Linked DNA regions of Kluyveromyces lactis. The protein of the gene in region 6 interacts with the protein of the main gene of each other region in a pairwise test. Links are inferred from orthologs where the notes say so. Each region holds a gene or a part of one and is shown on either strand. Other genes may lie near its edges. The genes, in order: IMP4, NOP14, UTP22, NOP1, UTP21 and ENP1.

Region 1 (4,194 bases), on a different chromosome or scaffold from region 6:
GTAACAGCAACAGCAGCAACAGCAACAACAACAACAACAACAACAACAACAACAACAACAACAACAACAACAACAACAACAGAAATACACAGCATCGTGGTTTAGATCATGATGTATCTAGTGCAGGTACACTGAACACCCCACCAGTAAATCCTCAAGGACTTCGTTTATCACGTACTTCTACTCAGGGATCTGGTTTTAACAAAAAATTCTCTCCTCCAGCGTACAAGACAAGAGCGTACTCCAATGCTAGTGGAGTTTCACCGTACGCGAATAACTTCAGTAGAAGCTCCGTGTCAAGCGCGAATACCCATATACTGGATGATGTTTTTTATGATGAGCAACTTCAATCCAATACGGCAAGCGAAGTGGTGAAGAAAAAGTTGACTAACGAAATCTAACATTAAAAAGAAAGAATAAGGATGATCCATGAGCCATTCAGCGCGCTTTTAAATAGAAGGAAATTGCTACGTTTATCTGTTTTCAAGCAATCACTTGAATTTTCTGGCCAAGAACGGGTCATTTATTTTTTCCGTCTCTTCTTTGATACATCTTCTTCCCCTTCCCTTATTTTTTCTCTCGTTCAGCAACTCTTTCCCTTACCGTCTCCTCGGTACAGTCAATCGTTATAACTCTATTTTGAATTAACATTCTATTTTTATTTATATCGAAATGAGAAGGTTGTTATTCTTTTATGTTAATTTACTTACGGGTGTTTTCTTTTTCTCTTTCTGATTCTTTTTATCCTATCTATAAATACAGTGACTGAAACGCAGTTGCTTCATGCTCCAGGGTTTGCTAATATCATGTAATTGTGTTTAATTTTCCTGTATCTCCTCAAACAACATACCCTTTCCGTCGTTAAAACGAAATACGTTTGATAGAATTCTTTCCACTAGCAAAAATGTTATACTTTGCTTGATTTTATGGACATTATGATGGAATTGTCTTATTATGCTTACTATAATTATAAATAGTCCTTTCTACTAGCCGTTCTAACAAATCTTCTTAGTTGCCATTCTACGTCAGCATCTTTATTTTCTAATGTTCCTAATTTTAATTCGAACAATCTCATCTCGAACCTAGGTCCCACTTCTGCTAACTCCACACCTTCTCTGGTTTTCACATAAACATGTTGCCTAACGCTGATAAAATCTCCTCTGTTTGCAAACGTTATCACCCTTGCTGCATCTTTCTTTGGACCAGGTGGGAATAGGTGCTTTAAAATCGTCTCTACTCTCTTACCCAATGGTGTTGTGAAATTATCGAAGATTAGATGTGGATTTACTTCACTTTGATTCCCCGAATTTAAAATGTCATGTCTTAAAACGACGTTGTGTAATGTGAAAAATGCTGTTGGACCATGTGGGAAATGTGATACCGTTAGTGATGTAGGAACACCTCTATGTTCATGAAGAACAACCAAATCTGACGTTCCTGATGTTTGACAGGCATCGACAAGATTCGGCATAATGTAATTACCTCTGTTTAATCTTACCGCTGTTGGGAACAGTAATTTGATTTCTTTTGCAAACTGTGATAACCTAGTACTAGGGTCTCTAGATGTTGTCACAATAATCTTAGGTTCTGCGATACCGCTTGTTGCGCTGTACTCATCATCTATCTGTTCCTGAGCACTTTCATCGTATTGAAAATCTTTCTGTAGTTGCTCATCTTCAGCAATTTCCTTTGGTAGTGGTTTCCCCTGTGCTAACGCTTGCTTTATGATTTGGCGCTTTTGTTGTAGTTGAGATTCTTGTAGCTCTTGTGCTTTACGGTACAAGTATTCTCTTCTTTCACGAGCTTGCCTTCTTAACATCGTACTTCAATAATGTGTTGCTTGTATAGTACCAAAAAAGCGAATAGCTGATAATATACTATAATAATGCCTGTTTATAGTGACTACAGTACGTATATACACGATACTAGTCCGTCGTAAACAAAAATGTCCAACCAGCTAAGTTGTTCTTCAGCTCTAACGTCTCATCTCATCGCATCGTTCATGTAAAAATTTCAGCCTCAAAAAGAAATAATTATTAGAATAATACCAAATGGTCACGTGACAAAACCTTTATACAAATCCATAAAGCCAAATACGCTAAGAAACGCATTATCGTAACATCGGTTACATACAACAGACACTGTAATTGGTGACATATTAAAGAATTACTTGGTTGTCATTAAACGAGGTTTTATACAGTCTATCAAAGGTAATTAATATTTGTCGTGGATGATGTTTAGTAAATGAAGGAAATTACCTTCACTTCTTGACACATCTGCCATATGCTCTAGCGAAGCTTTCTTCTTCTGAGATTTCCATTCTAGTCTTGAGGAAGAAATTGTTTCTGTTTTTGGAAGGGATATCCATCGATTCACGTCTCGATGCTACCTTTTTGGCTATTTCAGTATCAAAATCTGATTGAAGACTTCCTCCACGTAATGCCATCCTTTGTTGGTGGACGTTATTAGGCAAAAACATATGGGTAGAAAGAGCAGTAGGTAAAATGGTCTGAGCAGCCGGAGGTGCATTCGATTCATGATAATACCGTTCTCTAGTAGTATCGCTTACGATACTACTAAAAGAGCCGAGTCTTCTGGAACGCTCAAATGCGACAGGAATTGGCTTTTGATGATCCAAAAGAGGTTTGTTCTGCCACGAACTTGATGGTGTCACAGAGCCCACAGCAACTATTTCCGTAGTTTCTGGAGCAACAGGTTGAGGCGGTATTTGAATTCCTGTTGGATTCTGATGTAATATGCAATTTTGATCGGTCTTCTTTCTCAGAGGCTTTTCCGATTGTTTATCCAAAGACTTTAAGACAGGTTTCTCAACAGCCTTTGCTGAAGATGTTGCTTCAGAAACATATAGTGGTCTTTTGAGCAAATCCTCATTGGTTGTAGTGTATGCTTTATCCTCTGGATCAACTTGTGACTTGGTTTGTTTCTCTTGCATGAATAGACCAGACAACAAACTTTTCTTCTCTCCGGATTCTTTTGAAGGCACTTGATGAACATTATTGTTTTGGTGTGTCTTTGAGAACATCAGCTTATCCCATTGGTTTTCATAATATTGATCATTATCTTCTTCTTCATCGTATATCTCACTATCATCTGAAAGAGAGTCCCAATCAGATTCTTCGTCCTCACTACTAAAGAACATATTCTTGTGATCTTGTCCGGCATGCACATGCGCTGCATTACTTATAGTACCAGACGTTCCAGATTTGGTGCCATTACTAGATGTATGAGCGATATTGTTGGCAACTGATGACGTTCTCGAGGAATGATTCATCTCATTTGATTTGAGGTTTTCAGCAGATCCATTGGCAGATGAATTAGTAGATCCATTGGCCGGGGTGAATGGAGTAGGTTGATTTTTCGCAAATAATGATTTACTAGATGGGTTTCTACTGAACAAAGAAGTCTGTGAGTGAGCATTTGACTTTGTTTCCGATAAAGGCACATGATTTGACACCGGGGGTTCTGATGATGATGGTGGTAAAGGTAATTGTTGTTGATGGTTCTTCGGTACATTGACCAATTCAGGAGAAATAGCGAATTTCTTCTTTGCCAAATCTTTCCGTAGATCAGGGGTGTTTGCCTGGGACCTTGATGGAACCTCCATTTTCGTCGGTAGAGGTTCAGGTGAAGAACACACAGGTGATATCAGTTTCTTCGAAATTGAGATATGAGGTCTTGTTGACGTAATATGCGTATTAGCAGTCGATTTCGGTATCGAGGCCCCACTAGAGATTGGTGTCAACAGCGCAGATGATGAACCGGACGATGTCGCCGAGGTGGAAGCTGCAGTTACCATTGTAGTTGGAGTCTTTGGTGACGCCGGTGTCACAGCTTTTGGTTTCTGCAGCTGTTGCTGCAGTTGTGGGAATAAGTGCGTTTGCTTTATAGGATTAATAACGTGATATAGGTTCCGTACACCATCCCGTCTCTTTGACTTGTTGATATTCTGATCTTTCAACAACGACTTATTAATGATCCTCCAACTAAGGTTATGCAGCCGTTCTCCTTGCTCCATGAATTTGCTACATTTGATCAACGAAGTGTATAAGTCTAAAGAATCGAACAACGGCAGTTTATCCTGCGTGAAAAGAGCGGGACTCACTTTCAAAAACGTATGATTTTGTTCATGTTCTACATCACTACTCGCGTGTAGCATCTGGAACCGATTTTTAT
Region 2 (5,630 bases), on a different chromosome or scaffold from region 6:
CTTACCAAAGTTCACAATCTTTTCAGGTCTATTTATCTTTGCGTAAATGATACCCTGGTTGACCAAATCACTGATAAACGACTCTGTCTTGGCCTCATCTAAATCTAATAGCTCCTTTAACCTTGGCAAAGTAATTTTTGTATAGTATTTGGAAATGACACGCAAGTTGTGCTCTATGATTCTCTTATGAAGATCTTCCCAGTGTGATTCATTAGACCCGAATGCAACGCCGTCCTGGTTCAAAATTTCTTTGTAGGTATCTTGTACTATTGGCCATCTCATTAGTTCTGCTGTGGTGAAGAGTTTTACCAAGGATTCTTGGGATGGCAATTTCTTTAGATTGTTGTCCAACTGAACCTTGTGAATGAGATCATTTTGTAGGTTATCATATGGCGATAGAATCAAGAAGTATACAACCCTGGATAGAGCTGCCTTCCATTGAATTTCATCTGCCTTCACAGAATCAGAGTTGTAGATTTCTTGGTAGTACTGAGCCACTTCTAAGTAATCTTTCTTATGCAAGCCAATCTTTACCAAAAGGTTATAATACTCTAATTTCAATGCTGCATACTTTTCATTCTTGAAAGTCTTCTTTAATATTTTTCTGGACAACACAGTGGCTTGAGAGTAATCACCTTTTAGGATACTTAATTCCATTTGTTCAAGGATAAATTCAATCTTTTCATACATCTCCATGGACCCATACGTTTCCACTTGCAATTCACATAACAAGTCAGTGGCCTCATCGATCTTGTTCTCAGATCTTCTGATATGAACCAAATCTCTAGTGACTCTAGCTCTTTCAACTTCCACGAAAATCTTGTTCTCAGTCACGGTTCTTATCGTCTCAATAGTTTTAATCTTGGTGTCCAAATCCTTCAGGTCTTCCAAATATTTCATCACAGACTGAATCATATACTGCACAGATAACTTCAATTGACCATGCTTTTTTGATAGAAGCATGATTTGGTCGTTAAGTAGGTCCCATTGGTCTGCTGCGACCAAAACATCTACGATCTTAGTCAAGACTCTTTTCGAAGATGCTAAATCAGAAGATTGTCTAGTCTTCTTTTCCAACACTAACAATTGATCCAAAGCACTGGAATAATCATTCTTGGCCAAAATCTCAAGCTTAGGAAATTCAGCGTCCAAGATTTCGGTATAATCTTTCTCTGCCTTAATTGGAGCGTCTCTGGACATATTTTACGATATAATTTATACTCTTTTCTCTTTGCTCTGCCTGCTCAACTTAAACCGAAATGCAATACAATCAATTTCTCTGTATCCGTCCTGTATTCAAACCACACAAACTTACAGTCTCAGAACCGACACTGTAACCTGCTGTACCTCTGTTCGCGGTTATTTCGTATATATTTGCCACCTGTAACTGATTTCCTTTATTTCTCATAATGCCTTTAAAATGACAAGCTACGGTAAAAGCTTCCTCAGTAACAGTAACAATCGAATCTTAGAAAAACGTGACTTCATCATCGTTCGTAATGATTGTGCTGGATATTCGGGTAACCTTGATTTGATTTTATTGTGCGGGTAACTATTTTCTTTCTTTTCGGTGAAAAAGCATTAAAAGTTTGACAGAAGATGAATTGAGCGATGAGATGAGATGAGATGGGATTAAATCAAAGGCTGTCAGAAGGTTCAGTATCTTGGCCGATTGTATTGAATTGACTTGCATCATCAGTTGTGTTTAGACCATTCTTCTTGTCTGTGGGCAAATAGGTTACAAAGTCGAATAATAATGGGTGGTTCACAGTTGAAGAACTTGAAGGCCGCTTTAAAGGCTAATGGGTTGACTGGTCAGACCAATGTCAAGAAGAGTTCTAAGAAGAAGGGCAAATCTCCCAGGGAGTTTGATAGAGAAGAAAGACAGAAGACTATTGAAAGAATTAGGGAACAGTTTAATCCGTTTGATGTGAAAACAAATCGTAATAAAAAGGTTGGTGTGATGAGGGAATCTGCAGCTAAACTTGCAGTAGGTAAGCCGGGAATCACTAAACAAGCCGGTGAAGATCAACGTAAAATGTTCTACGAAGCCAAGAAGTCCAGCAAGAACAGAAGCGGTGGTGTCTTAGATAAACGTTTTGGTGAAAAGGATAAGAATTTGACTTCCGAGGAGATCATGTTGGAACGTTTCACAAAGGAAAGACAACGTCAATCTTCGACGAAAAGATCGTTATTCAATTTAGACGATAGCGATGGTGGTGAGGATGAAAACGTGTACGGTGAAAAGTTGACTCATTATGGTAAGTCTCTTTCCTTGGAAGATGATTTCGATGAAGGTGATTTGGGGTTACAGCATTCTGATTCGGAGGACTTCAGGTTGAAACAAGCTGGTAAAAGAAATATGGCGGATCAATACGGAGATGAAGGGTTAGGTGATGACGCTTTGCAAGAGCCAGCAAGAAAGAAGACTAAGGCAGAAGTCATGCAAGAGGTCATTGCTAAATCCAAATTTTACAAACATGAAAGACAAAAGGCGCAGGAGAAATTGGTCCAAGATATCGAAGGCCTTGATGACGATTTCGAAAGCATTATGTCTGAATTAAGGACGTTACCAAAGACTAAACCTTCTCAAACTGAGATTTCGACCTCCACAGACATCGCTCCAGATTATGATATCAAGGTGAAAGAGTTAGTCTTGGAGAAAAGAGCTGCCCCTGCAGATAGAACTAAAACAGATGAAGAGATTAAGAAAGAATATGAGGACAAACAAAAGGAATTGGAGCAGAAAAGGCTTGATCGTATGAACGGTATTTTCAACATTGAAGATCAAAAAGATGCTGGTGTTGAAGATTTGGGAGAAGAGTTTTGGGAAGATAGCGACTCTGAGGAGGGCGAATATGGTGAATATATCAAAGCAATTCCTGACTCGGATGACGACGTTGATTTCGAGAAGGATAACAATGATGACAATGAATACGACGCTACATCAAATGGTAGACCTTCAGCAAGAGTTATACCTTCTGTTCCATGTCCTCAAATTCACGATGACTTACTAAATTTCTTGAAATCTTATCCTATCGAAGAGCATCCATCTTTAGTTAAAAGAATAGTAAAAACATACCAACCAAAATTGGCTGAGGGAAACAAAGAAAAATTGGGCAAATTCACTGCTGTTTTGCTCAGACATATACTTTTCTTGGCTGAAGAAGATTACTCGGTTAATGTGAAAGAAATTGCATCATTACAAAACGAACTAGTAAGCATTCTAAAGACTCTTTCAGAAAAGTTTACCATTCCACTATCAGAGGATTGTAGAAATATCATCTCAGATATTCAGACTAGATTCAAAGAATCCCAGTTCTATGGACTATCTCCATCAGATTTGGTATTTTTCTCTGTTGTTGGTATGTTGTTCTCCACTTCGGATCACTATCATTTAGTCATTACTCCCTGTCTGCTTCTAATTGCAGAGTTTTTGGAACAAATTAGGTTCAATTCTCTTCAAAAATTAATATTTGGTTCGATACTGGTTAGAATCGCCATCCAGTATCAACGTATAAGCAAGCGTTATATTCCTGAGTTAACATACTTCTTGCAGACATCTTTGCGTTCTCTAATACCGAGTACCAAAGGGGAAACATTAGAAAACAAAGAAAAACAGGAGGACAATTTATCAATAGTAGGCTCGGATATTAACTGGTCCAAGGTCGCCCCTTCTTTAGAATTACACTCATTATTTTCCGAGGATCTAGAAAAGCAAGAATCTATCAAACTGTCCGTGCTGGTCAACAATCTAGAATCAATTGATTGGTGCATAACGAACATCTGGAAAGATCTTACTGCCTTCCCAGAAATCATTAATCCCTTCAAAGACATACTAAACGTGGCTGCCGAAGTATATCCTGGTACTTCTAAACCAAAACAATTAGTGGAAAAGATCGAAAAGCTATTGAAATTCCAAGAACGTCTGCCATTGACGTTGCAACAGCATAAACCACTGGCGATTCCATCAAATACGCCTAAATTCGAAGAGAACTTCAACCCAGATAAGAAGTCGTATGATCCAGATAAGACCAGAAGTGAGTTGAACAAGATGAAGGCGCAATTGAAGAAGGAACGTAAGTTCACTATGAAAGAAATACGTAAAGACACTAGATTCGAGGCAAGACAAGGCATTGAAGAAAAGAAGAAGGAGTACGCCGATTACCATTCCAAGATGGCACGTATTGTCAATCAAATCAGTACTGAAGAAGGTGCTGAGAAAAACAAATATGAGCGTGAAAAGAAGCTCCGTAATACCAAACGTTAACTGCATATTATATAATCTATACTCAACATTAATAAACTTTATCATCGATTGCGATCTGATTTTTTGTAATATTGGTTTAATAGGCCCATAACACCATTTCCCGCCTTCAGTTCGTCAGCATTATCAGCAATATCATCCTTAAAAAGGGTAGATTTGTTGATAAGTGAACCACTCAATGAGCCTAATTCAAGGTCCGAACTACGATCCGGGAATCTCTTCACCCTTGATCGATTAAGATTTCTCTTACGATTGGAGTTTTTACCTAAGGCAAATTGTGTCTTCCAGGAATAGTCTTTAGTAGAGCTGTATGGGTGATAAGATGGCTCGATTGGAGAAGCTGGTAGCTGATTTTTGCCCACTGCATTGCCTGCATTCTTGTAATCGTCAACGAAGTACATATATGACTGAAGCATTTTGTTAACACCCTCATCCGATTCGGTTTCACTATCATCCTGTTCTGCTTGGGAAAACATTCTCTTAGTTTGTTTTTTGGCCTTGGTACCTTTGTCAATTTTAGTAGCTTCAAACATTGCGTACTTACACACGTATCCCAACCCCTCCTCATAGACGGTACATTCTCTAAAAAAATCTATTATTCTTTCTGAATTCTTTGGCAGGGAGAACCATAATATGAAGGGAGTGATTATAATGCTGACTAGTTCCCTTAGTAATAATGTGATTCTCAAGTTGTAAAGCCTACAAAACTCATTTTTGATGTCCTCTGTATGATATTTCCCCTTCCATTCCTTTGGAGCGTAGTGTGTATACGACACAAGTTCCTCCAGTGTTTCCTCTGGTTTGAGAACCGTATACTCATCGTTGATAGAACTGTGACAAACTGCCCATAAAGTACCAAAAACAGTCATGTAAAATAAAACAGTTCTGTCAGGTGTAATTTCGAAGTTTAAGAAATTGTCTGGATCAAATATTGTCAGAATACCCAAGATTGCCACAAAAGAACCGGAAACAAACTGTATAAAGCTTAAGGTCAAGCTTAATAATGTATTGGGAAATTGATTGACATAATTGTCCGCTATTATCATGCTCAATCTCATTCTTTTTTGGAAAATATGATATAATTCATTGTATTCCCTAAATTTCCATTCAGCAATAGGAGTATATTGCCGAGAACCTATTGATCCTGGGGAGGTTTTGTACTCATTAAAATATCTGAAGAAGTTCAATAGAACAAAGTATGTTACTAAGAATGGGGATAAGATAATGTTCAAGAATCCAGCAAGAACAAACCTCTTCTTTAACTCCTCTCCCAGGTATTCTCTCTGGCTTTCTCTTAAGAAAGCTTGCTTTAAATAGCCCTTCTCATTGAATGCAAAACCTAAAATACAAAGATTTATGTTCC
Region 3 (5,539 bases), on a different chromosome or scaffold from region 6:
AATTCCTGGCAGAACGCACCTATTTCGTGGAAAATGGCATCTTTGTTAAGTTCTACTAGATCTTTATCAATTGGCTTGACGTTACAGTCCATGTTGACTTTAAATTTTAGTGGTTTCTTGAATATAGGTTTGATTAATCCAGTAATGACGTTTTTATCACCATTTTTACCACCAGTGACACCAATGTGGCGATGATTGGAGAATATAATACTGTTTTTGTACTTCATGTTCAAGTATTTCACTAGTTGGTAAGTTGGATCCATTTTGGTGCTCATTGTATCAAGATCTTTGGGGAATTCTGTCAACTGTTCGTTTAAATTCTTAAACTCGTTAGCGTTGACTATGCCACTGGATAGTTTCAATGGGACAGGAATCTTGAGCTTGATGACGAAATCGTAATCCTTTAATGCAGGTGTGAATAGTAATTCGATGGTTTGTTTGTTCAATCCATGGGATTGGATTAGATTGATGGCTACTTTTGCCAAAGCAGTTAATCTGGTGGCAATCGGTAGAGGAACTCCAGTAGAGTACAAGATTCCACTTGGATCGTTCTTGGATGCAACGAAGAATTGGGTGTGTAAACCTTGTGGGTCTTCCTTTCTTAGTTGTTGGAAGTTATTTTGAATGGTTTTGAATTGTGCAAAAGTCAACTTTTCTGAGAGTCTCTTTAAAACAGATGAATCTAGATCTGATGCTCCGATACTGGTTTCTTGGTCACCAAATTCGTCTGGTTTGACAAGATCTAATATTAGTGGATCCTCCCTCCAATTCCAGTTTGCGAGGAATAATAAGATCTTCAAGAAACCATTTTCAACGGAACCTGGCATGGTGAATGGACGTGGCTCTACAAATGGCTTAATGGCAATAAGCTCAATCAATTCTTCTGACAAATGGCCATATAAGAGATGAGAATCTAGCCATTTCTTAAATAGTCTTACCACTGGAGAGTAGAATGGGTAACTATGGGAAATGTTTTCCAAAGTTCTAGTATGTCTAATAGCAGCTTGGTACTTGGCAGTAAATTTCAAGAATGTCTTTTCCAGCTCTGGTCTTAGTTCTTTTCTTGCGTTGTTAATTGCTCTCAAATACATAACTTCGTCTCTCTCAGTTAGAACTCTAAACTTGAAACCGTATCCTTCTGGAGTCAAAATGTTTAGAGTAACTATTTCCAAGTTGTATGGAATCGATTCATCACGTGTAAAGTAGCACTTGTACTCACTATGAGTCTGCGTGATGGATTCTTGAATCTTCAATAAAAATGCAGCTTTAGCCTTTTCCAACGAAGTAATTTCGTCAGGCCATTTTGTAGACGTTTCGAATTCGATAACAACGTCTTGTAAGAAATCAGGATTAGAATATGCGTATGGGACAGGCTGACATAATGATGTGTACCTGAATGCAGAACCAATAGGTAAAAGAGATTTAATTGATAATGGGAGTTTTAGCTCGAACATGATTTTATACAAATCGTCAAAGGACTTCTTCAAGTTATAGTAGCTTGATAGGTTTAGAACTGATGTCTTTGAAGATGCAGGTAGGTTCGGTAGTGGTAACAACTGTTGGAATTGGCTAGTGGAATTATTGATGAGTTTGCAGTCTTCAGTCAAATGTAGCCTTAGAACATAGGACAAAATCGAAGAAACAACACTTTCAATAGCAGAAGTTGACCAGACACAGCAGTTTGCAATGGAACCGTCCTTGAATCTACGAAGAGATGCTTTTTTACCCCAAAAAATCTTGAATTCATTAGCTTCATTAGTTAATTCTTCTGTGTTCTCTGGGCCCTTAGTCACAAGCTTCTCACATTCTGCAGGGTTGATCAACAGTTTAATTTGGATTGAAGTGAAATTTGGAACAGCAGCAACTTTTCTCTTTGTTACTGGGAAAGTAGATCTATTGTTAACTAGAGCCACTTCAAAAGCTTTGATTCTATCCTCAAGGGCAATCTTCACGATGTTCGATACTTTATTGCAGATGAAATTTTCGAATGATATAAAGCTAATCTTTTCAACGGGACCGAACTTGGACAGTAGTAAATTGATGGATGGGATATCTAAATCATAGTAAGCATCATATTTCACTGTCTTGATCTTGTTTAAGTTAGTTAAGAACATGTTTTCGAACTGATCTCTGACGACGTCATTCAACATCAATAAACTTTCTTGCGCGTAGATCTTTAGCATTTGATAGCTGTTAACAGACATTTTACTCAGTATGTTAACTTTGGTGGTTTTATCAAAGATTGTAGGTGTTTGGAAACCTTCTTCAACGTATTTTGAGGAAGTGACAGTTGCAGTAGTGCTATAGTCGGAATAGAATTGTAAGTACCCATCAGTACAAAGATCCATTGTGGCCAAATATTTGATTACACCTTTGAATAATTGGTAAGATGAGAACCCATGCAATAAAATTCTGTTACCATTCAACCCACCACCATTTAGTAGGGCTGCCATCAACGTGGCAAACTCGAAATTTCCAAAACCACCCAACGCATCTGAATGAGACATATTTGATGAGAAGCCTCTCTGAGATAACCATAGCTTCCCCAAAATACAAGCCTGTTTAAACTGTTCTGTTTGTTTCTTTGATTTGTGTAAGTACTTCAAATAGTGTTCGTGACAAGAAGATGATAATACCGAGAAATTGTAGAAAGGTGTCGGAGTTTCGTTATCCTGACCGACTCTGATACAGTTCTTATTGGGTAGCAACTTCTTTGATTCGAAGAAATTGTATGGGAACCCCACGATCAAGTTTATGCTGAATTTAGTCTTGTAGAAATTATAGTCCGATGAAGTTTTCTCCTTACAACTTATCTTTAATACCGTTTGTAAAGGATCGTTGTTAAAGTATGAATATTCCAAGTGTAAGAAATCCAGCTGGCTTCTTTTCAGGACGAGTGAGATATGATGAGTCAAATACGCGAGGTATACTGAACGCTTGTGGAAACATCTAAAATTCAAGAAATCTTTCTTTTCGAACAACTGCTCAGGCATAGTCAACAAAACGTCTACTGCGGAGCCCTGAGGTTGGTAGATGGCAGTCTTCAACCCGAATGATCCAATTAAACTCACGTCCGGCTTTAAATAATTGAATTTGTACTGTGTGTTCTTCGCTTGTGGTTTTGGATCCACAAACGGAACTGATACCACTTTCCCATGGAAATATTTCTCTACATCTTCTAAGCTTTGCGGAGTCCATTCCGGTACTTCCTGTATCATATCATATAGTTTATGCAAAAACTTCTCCACCCTTACGATGTGTGAGTCCTTCAACTTCACTTGTTCCAATAACTCATCGATTTGTAATTTGAAAATGTTCGATTTGAAGAGTTCAGCCGTTTCTCTCGCTATTTGTATATCCTGGGAGCTCAACTTTGGCTTCTTAGCCTTATGGTCATGTGTGTTTTCCTCTTCCTCGTCTTCTTCCCCGCTGGAAGAGGCAGTAGCCTCTTCCTCTCTTTCTTCTTCTTCTTCTCCAGAAGAAGAAGAACCAGTCTTGTCACTGTCATTTTCAGCCTGTGAGCCAGTAATAGCTTTTACAAGCGCCTTCTTGGTGAAACTACCATTCCTGGACTTCTCACCATCTGGTGCTACACGTTTCACAGAGGCCATAGTTCACTAAATATCCACTTAATTCACTAGTTCCTGACCGTTTGCGCCTCTGGATTGATTATAATACAGAATGATAGCCAGTGCCCGAGTCCTAGGGTTTCAATTTCCCCTAGCCAAAACAGAAGAGAATTACCCTTTTAATATCTAGCAAACTAATACGAGGGAAATCCAAACAAAATCACTGTGATAAACCTGCCTATGGGTACGTTCATTCTATGTAAATGCGAATTCTTTAAACCTTTAAAGCTCATCGCCTGGCAAATTTTTCCAAAATTCGATGTGAAGGATTTTGATGCGTCTGTCACTTTATACGACGTGTCCAATCTCAGTCTCTCTGAATAATCAGTTAGATAGTCAGATACATAGAGTCATACTGGACTAAAGCCAAGTCCAACTCAAGTGCTGGAACTGGTACTATCCCGATATGTAGTAATATAGGGAATACATGGTTTTAGACGTACCGTATTGCTAGTTTTAGTGCACAATGTTACTTTAAGAAAAAAAAAATAGATTCGAGGAAGGTCAGATTGGATATTGAAAAAGATGAATGCCACCTGCCAGAATTGAACTAGCGACCTTTGCATTACAAGTGCAACGCTCTACCACTAAGCTAAGGAGGCACGAAATCTATTACAAATTTTACAGATTTTTTAGATCATTCGGCGGGTTATCTGTTGAGACGGATTAGAAACAATAGACGGTCAAGTATCAACATGAAACATCATTAACCAATCTGAGTTATTATATAAAGAGGCCATAGATCTGGGGAAAGACCATCAACACAGTCATGACAGATCGCCAGGTGCATCAACACACTAGCTATATATAGCTAGTAAACACTATGGATTCATCTGATACCGAAGGTTTTGAATTAATTACACGTGACTGTGACTGCGACAACCAGGATCACCTACATGGCAGCGTCACTGAGTCTCCGCAAGGAAGTAATGATCCGACAAGAGGTATCTGTGAAGATATACAAAGACTCGATATCGTTAGTGATGGTAGTGCTCCTAAACAGAGTTTAAAAGAGGATAAAAATGTTAACCCATACTCAGACTTAGATCCCGAGAGAGAGATATTTGGAGGAAGTACTTACGAAGTGTTTGATAGGGAATACAGATATCGAAGCAGTCTGTTGTTTAGTTATTCCAAGAAGAATAACAACTCGTGTGACAGCGAATATAAAGCTTTGATGACTTTTCCAGGTTCCAAGACAAGACGTCTGTTCATCTACAACAAGTGAAGTCAAAGGACCAATTTAACAGATGGGTTTACTGTTTAATTGGACAATTGAGACTAGCGGGACTAGAGAGTTTTATCCCGAACAAAAGCAATGACTGGTCCATAAATATAATTGACAACGACGAATTATCAAATTCAATTGTTTTCTTCTGGGAAGAATGTGTCCCGAAGGAATGCTGTCCAGAATGGGTTCAAATGGCACCTTATGGCATGGGATTTAATCCTGAAAGTGCAGTATACAATCTATTAAATGATTATGATAGGTTGAATAAAAATATAGACATATGGAAAGAAGCTGTCAGGCACCTGCAAAAAGATAAGACTTCACCAAACCTACAAACATTATGGTTAGAACGTACTAAGATGTATCACAAATTCCATGTACGTGAGAAATACCGTGATATAGATTCACTGTTACAGTGTTTAACTGAAATGACAGTGGAAGCTATTGCAGATAGATCATATATGGTAAACCAAGAACTGTCTAAAAACAATAAACTAGACATACCATCAGCACTGAGTTTGGTGAGTCTTGAATCTAGAAACTCTGTAAAGTCAAAACGTGCGAATCTAAGCGAAGAAGATAAGGGAAGAAAACCCAAGAAATTCCAGAACCAATTGGAACAAGGATTCCAATGGTACTAATAGGCACAAAAAGTCAGGTAAGAACTACAATAAAAATA
Region 4 (4,427 bases), on a different chromosome or scaffold from region 6:
AGGAAGCATCGACCTGTAACGTTTGACCTGCCGGGAGTTGCAAAAGTACGGGTCTACCAGATTCCTGGATACGCTCTTCTACAAGCATTAAATCATCATCCCCTTCTCTATGATCCACAACCACAGTACCATTGTTGGAAGCCCTGTAGTTGTCCAGATTGATGTACTCTGCATCATCATTTATTGGCCCATCAGGTCGCAAGGAAACCTCTGCAGTTATCTCCAAATCTTCACCATCTGTTGACACTGGCAAATCTGTAGCAGGAGCGATAGGAGCCACATTTCTATCCTCTGCGTTGGAAACAAATCTTGACAAATGGTCTCTGGGTCTATTCCTTCTGCGATCTGGAATCAATCGCCTTGGTGCATATTCTTCCCTGATTTGAGCATCTAGCTCTGGATCACTATCGATCTCTATAACACACCCTTGCTCCGTCATCACAAGGCTTTCTACCTTACTAATTACTGTTCCAGCTGTACCAGATACCTATTTTAAGGATCTGGCTCTGAACTCTTCCGATACCTTTGTATACTTTTAGCTTATTTCAAAGGTTTACTCTTAATATCAAAACCACTGTTGTCTTAAATATCATAATTATTAATTTCAAGAACTTTTCTTTACTTTTGTCTCAATTTGATGTCGATTAAAGATAAAAGAAACAAAGAGTTTGTCAACAGATGCACAGATGGACCGTATTATGGTATCGTAACCCGTATGGGGTTATATCCTTTAATTCACTGCTACCAGACATGATTTTCTAGAACGTATGGTTGTTATTGATATATATAAGTTATATATAGTATGTGATAATAATAATAATATATCTACAAATTAAATGTACAAAATAAGGTTAAGAGTGTTCGAGTATTAATACCGTTATTGTGAAAATGGGTTCTTTTGTATTGTCAAGTTGATGAACAAGGTTTTGAAATCTTCTTCTATTCTTTTCCCGTCAGTTAGTCGATCTCCTTTGAACAGGCGAAGGACCTGGACTGTAAGTAAAAGAAACACACAGAGTGACAAAATACAAGTGAAGACGAAGTGGAGACTTTTCTAGTTTGTAGAACTTTATCACGAATCAATGAGATGCAAAATTTCAAATAATATTATAGTGTTAATGATTGTATTGGAATGAAGGTTTTTAAAACTAAAAAGTAAGCAAAAAAAGATTAGAAGCCAAAAAAAAAAGATTAATAGAAGGAATCATGAACCAAGTAGGCATACTCTAGCATTGGTTTCAAAATATCAATATTTCTTTAGCAGCTCTTATAATCCACTTCTCATGTATTTACCGATAACGATACAATGGTCTCTTTCATAAGGTTCCAAAGTCAATTGTTCCAAAGGCTTAATCTTTTCTTCTCTCAATTTTTGAACTTCTCTAGCGAACACAGTTTCAGCATCAACAGTAGAATCGATACAGTTAGCCTTGATAGAGATAACGACACCACCTTGATCCTTCAAGAACATATGAGAGTTCAAAGCAATAATACGGGCTTGATCAGGTTGAGCAACATCTGCGAAGACGGCGTCAACCATACCGATAAGCATTCTGTATTTTTGTGGATGTCTAGCATCTTCAATAATTGGGATAACATTTGGTCTCTTCTTAGCCATAGAGATCAATTCTCTACCTGGTCTGTGAGAGAACTCAACAGCGTAAACCAACCCTTCTGGACCAACGACATCGGAAACGTGGGACACAGATGTACCGGAAGCAGCACCTAGATATAGAACCTTCTTACCTGGAGCAATGAATAGTTCATCCAAACCACCCATGATACCGGCAGCCAATTTGGATCTGAAAGGATTCCAAACACGGTATTCCACCTTAGTTGGTGGGACACCTTCTTCAGTGGAAGGTTCTTCAACTGAAACTCTCTTTTCACCGTACACAGATTCACCTGGAGCGATGTTCTTTGTGACCAAAAGATCTTCTTTACCTCTGGCAATAAAAACACCAGCATGCTTATGAGGTTCGATAACAACCTTAGCACCACCACGGGCACCACCACGAGCACCACCACGAGCACCACCACGAGGACCACCTCTGGAACCACCACGGGCACCACCAAATCCACCTCTGGAACCACCGCGAGCGCCACCACGAGGACCACCACGACCACCACCGAATCCACCTCTGGAACCACCACGGGAACCACCGAATCCACCACGGCCACCGCCAAATCCACCTCTGGAACCACCTCTGGAACCACCGCCGAATCCACCACGGGAACCGCCTCTGCCACCTCTAGAACCTGCTTGGAATGCCATTATTATTCTTAACTAGTTGGGAATTATCTGTCTTGAGATATAATGATTATGCTGCTGTTGCTGCTCTTGATCTTCTTCTCTCTAAATTGGACAAAGGAAAAAAAAAGAATTAAAATTGTGAATCAGTAACAGGTATTGTCGTTGACTTTGAAACAGAATCCTGGACGGCTGTAAAACTCTTCTAAAATGGGTAGATTATAGGAACAGAAAACGTACACAATACTATTCTATAAACAATTGATTACTTCTTTCAAGCAAGAACAACTTAATAAACTCTTACTTTACATTCGATGAGATGAGCTTTCGAAACTTTTTTTTTTCAGCTGAAAAATTTTGAATGAAAAAACAATATTAAATTTCTTTTTCAAAGTTCTCATCTTTGGTCTTTCTGTGCCTCTTGGTACGTACAGAACGATGAACGTTAAAGTCACATGACTATTGTCACATCTGTATCACGTGATATGAATTGATTATATAATCATATGAATCTACAACTTTTCAAGATTTTTTTTTGCTATGTTGAGCCAGATACTTGCTACAATGCGTACGTTTACTAAGGATTTCTATACAAGTTTTTCATAGTCAACATTGCGAAAATATGCAGATGAGATCATTTTTGGTTGTTGTTGTGAATATCGGTATCTTTATAAAAGCAGATAAAAAATCAGAGAAGTGGAACCAGCTTTGACTTTTGTACGTTATAGCAATCAGAATCTGAATTAGTATATCTGGATAAATTTTCTGGTTTAGTTTTGAGATCCTATTTTCCAAACTATCGCTGTATATTTTAATCCGACAGTTGAAGATATTACCTAGATAAGTGTCCCTTTATGTCTGCATCCAGTTCAATTTTTATTAAATCACGCTCAAAGAGCTTAAAAGACGTCAAGTTGGAAGTTCCAACAGAAAATACGTTGACATATCAATCTGTTTTGCAACAGATTTCGAAAAGCAATCACAATATTAGCGTTAACAGGTTAAGGTTAAGCTATCTGAAAGAAGGTAAGCAAGTCGCCATTGGGCCCTCTGAATTGAACGATGTTGGTAAGAAAAACACGTTCGATTCAGTTAACGAGTGGTATGTTAAGGATTTGGGTCCGCAGATCTCTTGGAGACTGGTGTTTTTCATCGAATATTTGGGTCCGATCTTGATCCATTCTTTAGTTTACCTTTTGTCTTTAAACGCAACAGTTAGGGACAAATTTCATTCTAAAAATGTTCCATATAACGATTTCTTCAATAAGTTCATCTACCGTCTGATTATGGTCCATTATCTAAAGAGAGAATTCGAAACATTGTTCATTCATTCTTTCTCCCTGGAAACCATGCCATTGTTCAATTTGTTCAAGAACTCTTTCCATTACTGGATCTTGAACGGGTTGATCTCGTTGGGTTACTTTGGTTACGGGTTCCCATTCGCTAACAAGACCTTATACAGAGTTTACAGCGCTCTCAAGATATCTGATTTCAGAGTCTTAACCGCTTTGTTTGGATTGTCAGAGATGTTCAATTTCTATATCCATGTCGCATTGCGTAGATGGGGTGATGAACAAAAGAGAAACGGTGTCACGAAGAGAGTCCCATTGAATTCTGGGTTGTTCAAACTACTTGTCGCTCCAAATTACACTTTTGAATCTTGGGCTTGGATGTTTTTCACTTTGTTGTTCAAGTTGAACTTATTCTCAGTTCTTTTCCTTGTTGTCTCGGTGGTTCAGATGTACTTGTGGGCTCAAAAGAAAAACAAGAAATATGGTACCAAGAGAGCATTCTTGATCCCATTCTTGTTCTGAATTCACCAATTACTATCACCACATACATATTTGACTTGGGGTATTATAGCATTCTCTCTTAAGTGAATAACGCTGTTTTACTCGTTTATTTACGCACTTGTTCTCTAACTTATGCCGTCAAAGCGTTGGCAACGTTTGTAAACTAAATATAATAATGATGATGAATGCAAAGTATTAAATTACTCTATCGGTTAAAGAACTCTATATATGAATGCATGTATATAAAAAATGAGTTCTGCTCTAAGTTATTGCGGTGAATATATGCTAATTTTCGTCAAATATTTTTGTTTCGTTCTGGATTTCATTACTCAACGACCCCGGTGAAGTGATCTTCTCTTCTTTGATCTCTATCAAGTAAATCT
Region 5 (5,518 bases), on a different chromosome or scaffold from region 6:
TACGCTGCCGCAGAATTTTACCAATTCATCCAATGATTGGCCCTTGCGGTGATTGGTATCCCAATGTTGCAGAGCAGTCTTGATATTTTGATTTGTGTTATTAGAATGAATTACATCACCATGCACTCTGAATAAGATGGTAATATATGCCTCATATAACTCAAAGTTCTTGTTGGTAGCCAAACCTTGAGCCAAACTTTCAATGAACCGACATAGCTCATCAAATGGTTGAAAAGCTTTCAAAGAACGAATCTCCAAATCAATATTTGAGGGAGTCATCTGGACTAATTCGTCAAGGAATGCTGAATAATCGTTTTTCTGCGAACCTTCTCTAAGTAGCTTAGTGAAATCAGATTCGAACTGAGCACCAAGTTTTCCTGAAGGTTTGAATTTATTCAGTTCACTAGCAGCATTAGCTTTGGCAGCATTTCGCTCCTGTTGTAGTTTAGAGGAATCCAAACTCAAATTCTCAGCGCCTTCCCTGGCTGAAGCCTCATCGCCCACCTTATCTTTTGCAAGTTGTAAGAAGAATGGAGCCTGCTCTGGTTTAACTGGAGCCTCCTTTGGTTTCGAACGTTGTTTAATTATATCGAGATTGAGTAAGATATTCATCTTGTTCCTTGGTCCCAAAGAAAGAGTCAATAAATCTTTATCAATTTGCTCCATCGAGTCATATTTACCAAAGAGATCTTCGGAATCATCTTCCTCTGTATCAAAAGCCCCTTCCAAAAAGTTGGAACCACCATCTCCGGAAACGTTTGGAAGCATAACAGTGGCAAATTCTTCTTCGTCGATCTGTCTGGTTGATACTGAAATGAACTGAGCTCTATTAGCCCAGAGGGAAATACCATTACCAGATACACTAGTGGTAGCCAATAAGTCACCATTTGGTGAGAATTTAATGTTAGTGATGACATTTTCCACTTTCATACCGTCTATACATCCACCTGTTGGTAAATCCCAGGTTCTAATTGTGGAATCTAATGACGAAGAAACGATCCAACGTCCATCAGGTGAGAAGTCAAATGATGAAATTCTATTGGAATGCCCCCAGAGTTGACGGACCACTTTTTGAGTAACCGAATCTACGACAACAATGGAAAGGTCATCTAATGCTAATGCGAAGAGGTCAGATGATCGATGGTATACCATTGATGTTATAGGTGAATCCAACTTTAACTTTCCCAAAAAAGTGCTTTTGGAAAAGTCATAAAATCCGACAATACCATCTAACCCACATGACACCATCTTTCTGTTCATACCATCCATTGCAATACCAGTAACTGCCTTCTTATGTAAACGATAAACCTTTCTCTTCTGTCCACTTTGTAAGTTGTGAACACTAATACCACCGTTTGAAGAGCCAACTAAACCAAAGTTACCACATTGTGATATAGCTACGCTCTTCGCAAACCCCTCATCATTAGTTGGGATTGTCCACCTACCAACTCTTTTTGTTCTCGAGTTCCATGTTCTTGCAAACTTTTCCCCTTTATGAACCGTCAAGATGTTTTCCCATTGGCCTTGTCTGTTATTTTCGATGACTATTGATGTAATCTCAGGGAACTTCTCACCAATGGTGCTTCCACCAATCCTATTTCCATCTTTATTCTTATGCAGACGCTGCGATAATTCCTGCGATTGTGCATCTTTTCTTAAGGAAAACCCCCATAAAGATCTATCTTTTGAAGCAGAAAGAATGAAATGAGATTGATCGTCAGCAAATGCAATAGAGGATGGAGGTTGAGAGTGACCACCTCTTGACCTTAATAATCTGGCTGGTTGAATGACCACTTCAGAGTCACCTTGCGATAAGGATGGATCGAAAACAAACTCTTTTAACTGGTTGTCACCACCACAAGTGACAACGATCGGCTGACCGTTCAAGAATGATGCTCTTGCAACACCACCATTCACTTCCTTGTGAATGCCTTTTAACACTTGAACACGTGAGCGATGATCTAAGTCATAAAAGATCAAATCACCACTGGTTGATGCTACTGAGATATGAGAAGCACCATCCGTTCTGAAAGAGATTGAAGAAATTCTCGTCGGCGTTTTAATGGTTCTGATTTTCTTACCCTTACGCAAATTGAATAAAATAACTTCACCAGATGATGTACCAAAGGCAACGATGTCTAAAGCAGGTGCAGGTTCAGCAGTGGTGATCTCATCGGGGAACTCATCGGAAGTGTACAATTGTTTTCCGGTCCGAACGTTAAACAAGGTGAAATTAGACTTAGTCACAACGAGCAACTTGTTAACATATGTTGGTAAATGCACCAAATCAACAATATCACCACCTTGTAACTTACCAATGGTGAAATTGGTGTATAATTCAGTAGCGAATTTATCAGATGGGGAATTTTTCTTATAGATATAAACAACATTATTATCTGTAGAAGCAATCAAATATTCACCGAAAACGTTAATTTTGGTCACCACGGTATTTGGATCAGGTAATTCAATCAAATGTTCTAGCTTACCTCTCTTATAGATCCCAACTTTATTCTTAAAACTTGCATAAACGTAATGAAAATGCGCTGCCAAACAAGTAATGTCTCCCTCTGTCTCCTTATCTGAAACGAATAGCAGATGCAAATTATTGGCATCAAAGATCTGAAACGACTTACCAACAGAAGTCACAATGTAGAAGGTCGTACCTAGGGTACCAATCGCATAAGGAACTCCAGTAGATACATTACCTACAATTCTATACGGAGAAAATATTCTGGAAGCATGTTTCCTAACAGCGCCGGAAGAACCAACTCTTCGTTTCTTTAACGATCCATCCACTGTCATGATTGCTAATGCACTGTTCTGTGACTTTATGCAATCGCTTAATTAACTGAACAACAAGCGAATCCAGTAATTAGCTGCTGACGATAGGTATCTATCTCATCTCATCTCATCTCATCGCTTCTTTAAAACGTCGAGCTTCGAAATTTTCATCGCTGAAACAGAAAAAGAAATCAGAATATCACGTGACACATAAGGGGGATCAACCTGCAAATGTGATTCTTAGACTTGGATAGAGAAGATACTATGTAACTTCACCATTAGATGCCATTAGATAGTAACCATACCACAGTCTGAAATCTCACTAGCGAAACACATGGAGGTGTTGCTTAGATACTGGTCTTTACTTCAGAATTACTCACAGTTTTCTATCAAGTTTTCACTATTATCCTTCACATATAAATTTATATACAAAATTAAACACATGGGGAATAATCGTACCATGCATCCGCTTATAACAGAAATCGATTAATTGCAACGATCTACAAAATAATTTTAACTGAAGTTTCAGCATTGGTTATAATCAAATTGCAGAACTGCCAGTCATGTCTTCTCCAGGTTCAATTTCTGATGAGGGTCAAGAGGCAATCAACGGAAATACCATGCCTCCACTGTTTTTAGATTCGAATACGAAAAAGGCTATGGAATCGATCGCTCCTATCCTTGAAGGGTTCACGCCGAAGACCTCTTCTAGTGAGAATAAGTCGTTGAAGTTGCCACCTGCTGGTTTTACCTCTGATGATGATGATGAGACAAATAAGCTCGTCAGAACGCTTAGTATTTCTTCTACTGGTTCGACAGGTCGTCATATGACTCCCAGTGTCCTAGGCACCTCATTCGATAGCATGAATGGTAACAAGCTTCAAAGACTGAAAAGTAACCAAAGTGGATCAGCATCAGTTTCTGCTATTCTGGAAGGATCGCCTAGTCCATCTCCTATGCTGGAAGAACCTCATGCATTCCCCTTCATTCCGCAAGCATTAGTCTCTAATGAAGCTGTCACAACCAACACTGACGGATCAACAACTCCAAGTTCGACAAATTCTTCGAGGAAAGCTTCAACTTCCTCGTCCAAGCCTCAGCTACCAAAGATTGGTAAAATTGGTGTTTGTGCCATGGATGCGAAAGTGTTATCCAAGCCATGCAGACATATCTTAAACAGACTAATTGAACACGGTGAGTTTGAGACTATAATTTTTGGCGATAAAGTTATATTGGATGAAAGCATTGAAAACTGGCCTACTTGCGACTTTCTAATATCATTCTTTTCCAATGGGTTCCCTCTAGAAAAGGCTATCAAATATGTCAAGTTAAGAAAACCATATATCATTAATGATTTGATTATGCAAAAAGTATTGTGGGATAGAAGGTTGTGTCTCAGGTTGCTGGCGGCAAGCAACGTACCTACCCCTCCTAGATTGGAAATTACAAGAGATGGTGGTCCCAAAATTGATGATGAACTGAAATCTATGCTTGCCGAACGTGGAGTTATTGTTTCAACTGTTCAAGAACCCAACTGGAGAATGGTGGACGATGACACCTTGGAAGTTGAGGGTAAGGTGATGACCAAACCATTCGTTGAAAAACCTGTGGATGGTGAAGATCACAATATATACATCTATTATCATTCGAAAAACGGAGGCGGTGGGCGTAGATTATTCAGAAAGGTCGGTAATAAATCTTCCGAATTTGACCCTACTTTGATTCAACCTCGTACTGAAGGTTCATACATCTACGAAAAATTCATGGATACCGATAATTTCGAAGATGTGAAAGCATACACTGTAGGTGAAACTTTTTGTCATGCTGAAACCAGAAAATCCCCTGTAGTCGATGGTATTGTGCGCAGAAACACTCACGGAAAGGAAATTAGATATATTACTGAACTTTCTCCAGAAGAAAAAGAAATGGCTCGTCAAGTGTCGAAGACGTTCGCTCAAATGATCTGTGGTTTCGATTTATTACGTGTTGAGGGCAAGAGTTATGTCATTGATGTTAATGGGTTTTCATTTGTCAAAGATAACACAGAATACTATGATGCCTGTGCCAAAATTTTGAGAGATACCTTCTACAACGCCAAAAAATTGATGGACCTAGAAAAGCGGAACCTTCCTGCAATTCAAGAGGAGAAAACTCAAAAATGGGTATTTAAGGGGCTAGTTACTGTTATCCGTCATGCAGACCGTACACCAAAACAGAAACTCAAGCACTCGTTTACCTCTCCGATATTTTTGTCTTTATTGAAAGGTCACAAAGAAGAAGTAGTCATAAGAAATATCAATGACTTGCAAATTGTTCTGCAAGCACTCAAAATTGCACAAGAGGAAAATGCTGAAGATCCAGCGAAACTTGCTGTCTTAGCAAACGCTTTGGAAAAAAAAATCAGTTTTCCTGGAACTAAGATTCAATTAAAACCAGTTCTGAACAAAGACAACGAAGTGGAGAAGGTTCAATTCATTCTCAAATGGGGTGGTGAGCCAACACACTCCGCTCATTTCCAAGCTGAAGAATTAGGTGAGCAGATGAGACAAGACTTTGATTTGTTAAACAAGAACATCTTGCACAACATCAAGATATTTTCTTCTTCCGAAAGGAGGGTTCTAGTTTCGGCCCAAATATGGGCCACAGCTCTATTCGGTGCGGATGAAATTAGTAGCGACGAGATCAGTATAAGAAAAGACTTGCTAGATGACTCCAATGCAGCTAAAGACCTTATGGA
Region 6 (4,494 bases):
CTTTCGCTCTTTCAAGATGACGAAGACCCTTTTTACCATTATCTTATATCTACAAAACTGGCCACAAACTTAAATACCGTGAGAAAACTGGCTATAAAGGATAACTTGGATGATCCGTCTTCTGATGCTATTGATAGATACCAGAAAAACTTTAGCAGACTAGAGGAATCGGTTAGCTCTATCAGTTTCTCCAAAGCTTCTAAGTTGCAACAGAAATATGATGCATATCAGGAATCTCAAAAGAAAAGGCGATATAGTGTTGATTTCGATGCAACGCCCGACGTGCCTATAGGAGATGAGGACGATGTTGATATAATATCCAATGTTGAAGCAATTAATGACAACGATTCTTTGAAGGAGCTCCGCCAAAGGCTTATGGGTAAAAGAAGGGACAGCGCTGATACGGAGGGTGAATCATTTGACAAACAAATGCAAATTCAGGATGATCTTCAGAAGGAACTGGTTGAAGACATGTCCCAGCTAGTTTCAGGCTTAAGACAAGGTGCGGAAGCTTTCCAGAATGCTATCGAACACGACTCTACTGTTCTTAAGGCAGCAGAAATCGGATTGCATGTTACTTCTAAGAGCCTTTCTTCACTCGGATCCAGATTGAAAAAGTATCACAATGAAAAAATTGGATTTTTAATGAAGTTAGGACTTTTATCGTTTATTATAATTGGTCTATTGGTCACCTATCTTGTAATAAAAGTATTTCCAGATTTATGAGTGTCTTCCGCTAAAATCTCCAAGATTTAGATAAAGGCTCTGCTTCACTCAAAAGCTTCAAAGTACAAAATAGACTCATGAATATTCGATGAAATTAATTGATACCGTTTCCACTTATCGAATAGATTGATTCTATTGATTGTCTTATCTATAATTGCATATTATACACTTGTTTAAAATTGACAGGCACTTATATTGTTATAGGACTATTGACTACAGAACATCAAACATTAAATCAGCTTTATTACCAACATCACTGACAAATTCTCTACTATCACCGGCTAATAATTCTCTTCTGATTTCAGGTCCAATTTCTTTGTGACCTCTTTGACGAACAGTTTCAAGTAGGAAATCTCTTTGATCTTGGGTAATATCATTCTTATAACGTTGAGCAAACGCTAAGAAAGCTTTATGCCATACCACAGGTAAGACTCTGACGGCATCTTGGCCTGTACTTCCATCAGTGACTTCTCTGAATCTCATGAAGTAGAAGACACATTCGTCAACAGTTTGATAAGGCAAAGCATACTTCTTCTCGAGTAGAATTTTGATGAAAACGGTGGTGGCTGGGGAAAAAGGTAATCTTAAAAGGTAGGACAATGCTGCAGCAGAATGAAGAGCTGGCACAGAGACCTTGGATAACACACTTGCAGCAATGGTAGCTTCTCTAACATTACAACCGGATTCCACAAGTGGGAATAAGAACCCTTTGAAAAAGGCAGCCGGTTTATACAATGATTTCTTTAATGCACGGTAGACATGGTAATTTAAGTTGTGATCTTCGTTAAATTCAATTTCTTCTCTGAAGCGTGGTAACAACACAGCTATAACGAATTTTTGGGCCTCTTTAGATGATAAGTTAGAAACAAAAAGTTTAGTACCTTCGTATATAGCATGCGGAGACCATTCCTCTGGATTAGTAACATAGAGAACATCTTGCCAGTTATTTAGAGAAGGCAAAACTTTGAATAGTTTGGGTAGTTTACCATGTCTCCAGGTCTGCATAATGGTACCAACGGCAAGGTATGCTTGAATCACCTTGGGTGGTAAGGCGACACCTTCTGTACGATCTACAGGTGCAGCTGGTTCCGCTACTGCAGAGGCATCACCTGCTTCTTCTTCATTATACTGTAGTTCCATCTCTTTTTCTCTAATAGAAGCCATAATCTTATCGGCAAGGTTATATGATCCATTGGCAGAGTTGAAATCAGCAGAAGTCTTGAAATATTGGTCAAACATTTCAGCATCTTCTTCGTCAATTTCTACCACTTCTTCCTCCTCGTATCCTTCGAAATCGTCTTCATCTTCCGGTTCAAAGTCAGATATGTTATTACCTTGAGCTTCCTCTTCCTCAGCTACATCATCTTCATCCGCATAGTTGGCCACACAGAATCTGTTTATTCCTTGGCTGGATGTCTGCAGAGACTGCTCGTCCTCTTCCTCTAATTCTTCCTGCTGTTCCCTAGCTAATTGCAAAATTTTTCTAGATTGCTGGGCATCGACAAATTCTTCATCTTCATGGCCTTTTTGATCCTTAGCATCGATCTTTTTCTTACCTTGTCTTTTCAACTTACCATGTTGAGAGTCAAGATCGTTCAATAAAGGATCGTGTCTCTGTTTACGACCGCTGCCACCCATTACTTTACCCATTTTCTCCGTAGAACAAATAAATCTTGTATCACTAGTCGTATTCTGAGCACTAAAGCAGACACTAATGAGTAATTTTGTGATTGTTATCTGCCATTTACCTCATCTCATCTCATCTCATCTCATCTCATCGCTTCTCATCTCATCGTTACTTATTCAAATCCCAAAAATTTTCAGTCAATGCACGGACAGAAAAAGAAAGGCTAGAGATACTCTGTTTAGAGAAGTCAAAGGTTCAATTAAATAACTCTGGAGCATTGGCAGCGGGATCGTCGTGATTGAAACAGATATGCCACAGCGTTGAACACAAATTCAAGCTACTGTAAACAGCCAAGAGCTATGTTCTTCTAATGATTACAGGCAAAGAATGTTGTTTGTTTTGCACGTGACTTTAAAATCTGGAAAGATTTTTCAACTGCAGCTTAGATTCGTTTTACGTATATATAATTAACAATGGATCAAGTGTAATGTGATCTCATATGCGTGGTGACACATTGCTGGTCTCTTGTTCACTCAAGCTTCTCCCTTGAGTTGTACTTATCGATTGATCAAAAACCAAGTGTTCATTTCCGTTTTTTTCGTTCCTTGCAATCTTAGCAAAGTTACAATTAACATTAGACTAGGCCCTTCCAATTAATCTTTTAATTGACCACCAGTTACTGAAGAAATCATGTCTAAAAGATCTTCTAGTGTAGCGAACACTCCAGTTAAAAGGAAGCATTTACACTCTACTTTGAATCATAAGTTTGTTAGCATCAATTCTCAAGATGATTATAAACATTTGTATAGATCTGTTGTTCCACTTGACATTTTTGTATGGGGAACTGGATCAATGTGTGAACTAGGCTTGGGTCCTCTAGCTAAAAACAAAGAAGTTAAGAGACCTAGACTCAATCCCCTTTTGCCCCGTGATGAGGCTAAAATTGTGTCTTTTGCTGCAGGTGGAATGCACACCCTAGCGCTAGACGCTGACAATAACATCTGGTCGTGGGGGACTAACGACTCAGGTGCTTTGGGTAGAGACACTAGCGGAGCTGTAGAAAAATTGAAAGATATGGATGCAAATGATAGTGATGATGATGAAGATGGTGACCTCAACGAAATTGAATCCACTCCAACTAAAATTCCTAGAGACTCTTTACCATTGGACGAATTAAGATGTGTACAGATTGCTGCCACAGACAATCTATCTGCTGCTCTATTTGAAAATGGTGACGTTTACGCTTGGGGTACCTTCCGTTGTAACGAAGGTATTTTAGGTTTCTACAGAGATGAGATTACCGTCCAGAAAACCCCTTGGATAATCCCTAACTTCTCCAAGAAAGCCAAGATTGTTCAAATGGCTGCTGGGAAAGATCATATATTGTTCTTGGATGAAACTGGTATTGTTTACGCCTGGGGTAATGGTCAACAGCAACAATTAGGTAGAAGAATTTTGGAACGTTCTCGTTTGAGAACTTTAGATCCAAGACCATTTGGGTTGGATAACATAAAGTATATTTCATCGGGTGAAAATCATTCATTTGCCCTTTCCACGGACGGTAAACTGTACTCGTGGGGTCTTAATCAATTCGGGCAATGTGGTATATCTACAGAATTAGAAGATGGGTCCTTGGTAAGTGTTCCTACTGAGGTCATTTTGCCAGAAGGAGTTGAAATCGATTCTGTTTCTGCTGGAGAACATCACACTCTAATATTGGCGAAATCTGGTGATTTATATTCTTGTGGTAGATTAGATATGTTTGAAGTCGGTATTTCAAAGGATAAACTACCTGAGTACACTTATAAAGATGTTCATGGCAAGGCCCGTTCTATTCCTCTTCCAACAAAATTAGAAGACGTTCCTTCATTTAAGGCCATCGCTGCAGGCTCTCATCACTCCCTCGCTATTGCCAAAAATGGTATAGTGTATTCCTGGGGATTCGGTGAAACTTATGCAGTTGGTTTAGGTCCTTCTGGAGATGATATTGAAACACCTACAAGAATCAAAAACACGGCCACTCAAGATCACAGCATTGTCTTCATTGGCTGCGGTGGTCAGTTTTCTATTTCTGGTGGTGTTAAATTATCTGACGAAGAAGCAGAAAAAAGAGCTGATGAAATGGATGATTAAAATTAATA

What was found.
Region 1: the proteins of ENP1 (region 6) and IMP4 interact in binary tests that used the Saccharomyces cerevisiae proteins (3 or more experiments, as listed by UniProt). The link is inferred for Kluyveromyces lactis from reciprocal best matches to the Saccharomyces cerevisiae genes ENP1 and IMP4.
Region 2: the proteins of ENP1 (region 6) and NOP14 interact in binary tests that used the Saccharomyces cerevisiae proteins (3 or more experiments, as listed by UniProt). The link is inferred for Kluyveromyces lactis from reciprocal best matches to the Saccharomyces cerevisiae genes ENP1 and NOP14.
Region 3: the proteins of ENP1 (region 6) and UTP22 interact in binary tests that used the Saccharomyces cerevisiae proteins (3 or more experiments, as listed by UniProt). The link is inferred for Kluyveromyces lactis from reciprocal best matches to the Saccharomyces cerevisiae genes ENP1 and UTP22.
Region 4: the proteins of ENP1 (region 6) and NOP1 interact in binary tests that used the Saccharomyces cerevisiae proteins (3 or more experiments, as listed by UniProt). The link is inferred for Kluyveromyces lactis from reciprocal best matches to the Saccharomyces cerevisiae genes ENP1 and NOP1.
Region 5: the proteins of ENP1 (region 6) and UTP21 interact in binary tests that used the Saccharomyces cerevisiae proteins (3 or more experiments, as listed by UniProt). The link is inferred for Kluyveromyces lactis from reciprocal best matches to the Saccharomyces cerevisiae genes ENP1 and UTP21.

What each region holds. Positions count from the first base shown.
Region 1 is NC_006041.1:700,226-704,419, forward strand, and holds IMP4 (snoRNA-binding rRNA-processing protein IMP4), read right to left. Parts: upstream 1,820-4,194; coding exon 968-1,819; downstream 1-967. Other genes in the region: KLLA0_E07811g (uncharacterized protein), read left to right, coding at 1-401; MKS1 (Mks1p), read right to left, coding at 2,261-4,194. UniProt on the Saccharomyces cerevisiae protein: Required for the early cleavages at sites A0, A1 and A2 during 18S ribosomal pre-RNA processing.
Region 2 is NC_006039.1:1,425,995-1,431,624, forward strand, and holds NOP14 (snoRNA-binding rRNA-processing protein NOP14), read left to right. Parts: upstream 1-1,756; coding exon 1,757-4,270; downstream 4,271-5,630. Other genes in the region: proteasome regulatory particle lid subunit RPN5, read right to left, coding at 1-1,200; autophagy protein ATG9, read right to left, coding at 4,312-5,630. UniProt on the Saccharomyces cerevisiae protein: Involved in nucleolar processing of pre-18S ribosomal RNA. Has a role in the nuclear export of 40S pre-ribosomal subunit to the cytoplasm.
Region 3 is NC_006040.1:1,246,063-1,251,601, reverse strand, and holds the start of UTP22 (rRNA-processing protein UTP22), read right to left. Parts: upstream 3,612-5,539; coding exon 1-3,611. Other genes in the region: KLLA0_D14762g (uncharacterized protein), read left to right, coding at 4,453-4,857. UniProt on the Saccharomyces cerevisiae protein: Involved in nucleolar processing of pre-18S ribosomal RNA and ribosome assembly.
Region 4 is NC_006039.1:399,269-403,695, reverse strand, and holds NOP1 (rRNA methyltransferase NOP1), read right to left. Parts: upstream 2,276-4,427; coding exon 1,268-2,275; downstream 1-1,267. Other genes in the region: SUMO-targeted ubiquitin ligase complex subunit SLX5, read right to left, coding at 1-439; trans-2-enoyl-CoA reductase (NADPH) TSC13, read left to right, coding at 3,106-4,065; serine/threonine protein kinase CDC7, read right to left, coding at 4,370-4,427.
Region 5 is NC_006038.1:251,731-257,248, reverse strand, and holds the start of UTP21 (rRNA-processing protein UTP21), read right to left. Parts: upstream 2,803-5,518; coding exon 1-2,802. Other genes in the region: inositol polyphosphate kinase VIP1, read left to right, coding at 3,345-5,518. UniProt on the Saccharomyces cerevisiae protein: Involved in nucleolar processing of pre-18S ribosomal RNA and ribosome assembly.
Region 6 is NC_006042.1:636,493-640,986, reverse strand, and holds ENP1 (snoRNA-binding rRNA-processing protein ENP1), read right to left. Parts: upstream 2,377-4,494; coding exon 940-2,376; downstream 1-939. Other genes in the region: SNAP receptor USE1, read left to right, coding at 1-726; SRM1 (Ran guanyl-nucleotide exchange factor), read left to right, coding at 3,044-4,486. UniProt on the Saccharomyces cerevisiae protein: Required for normal export of the pre-40S particles from the nucleus to the cytoplasm.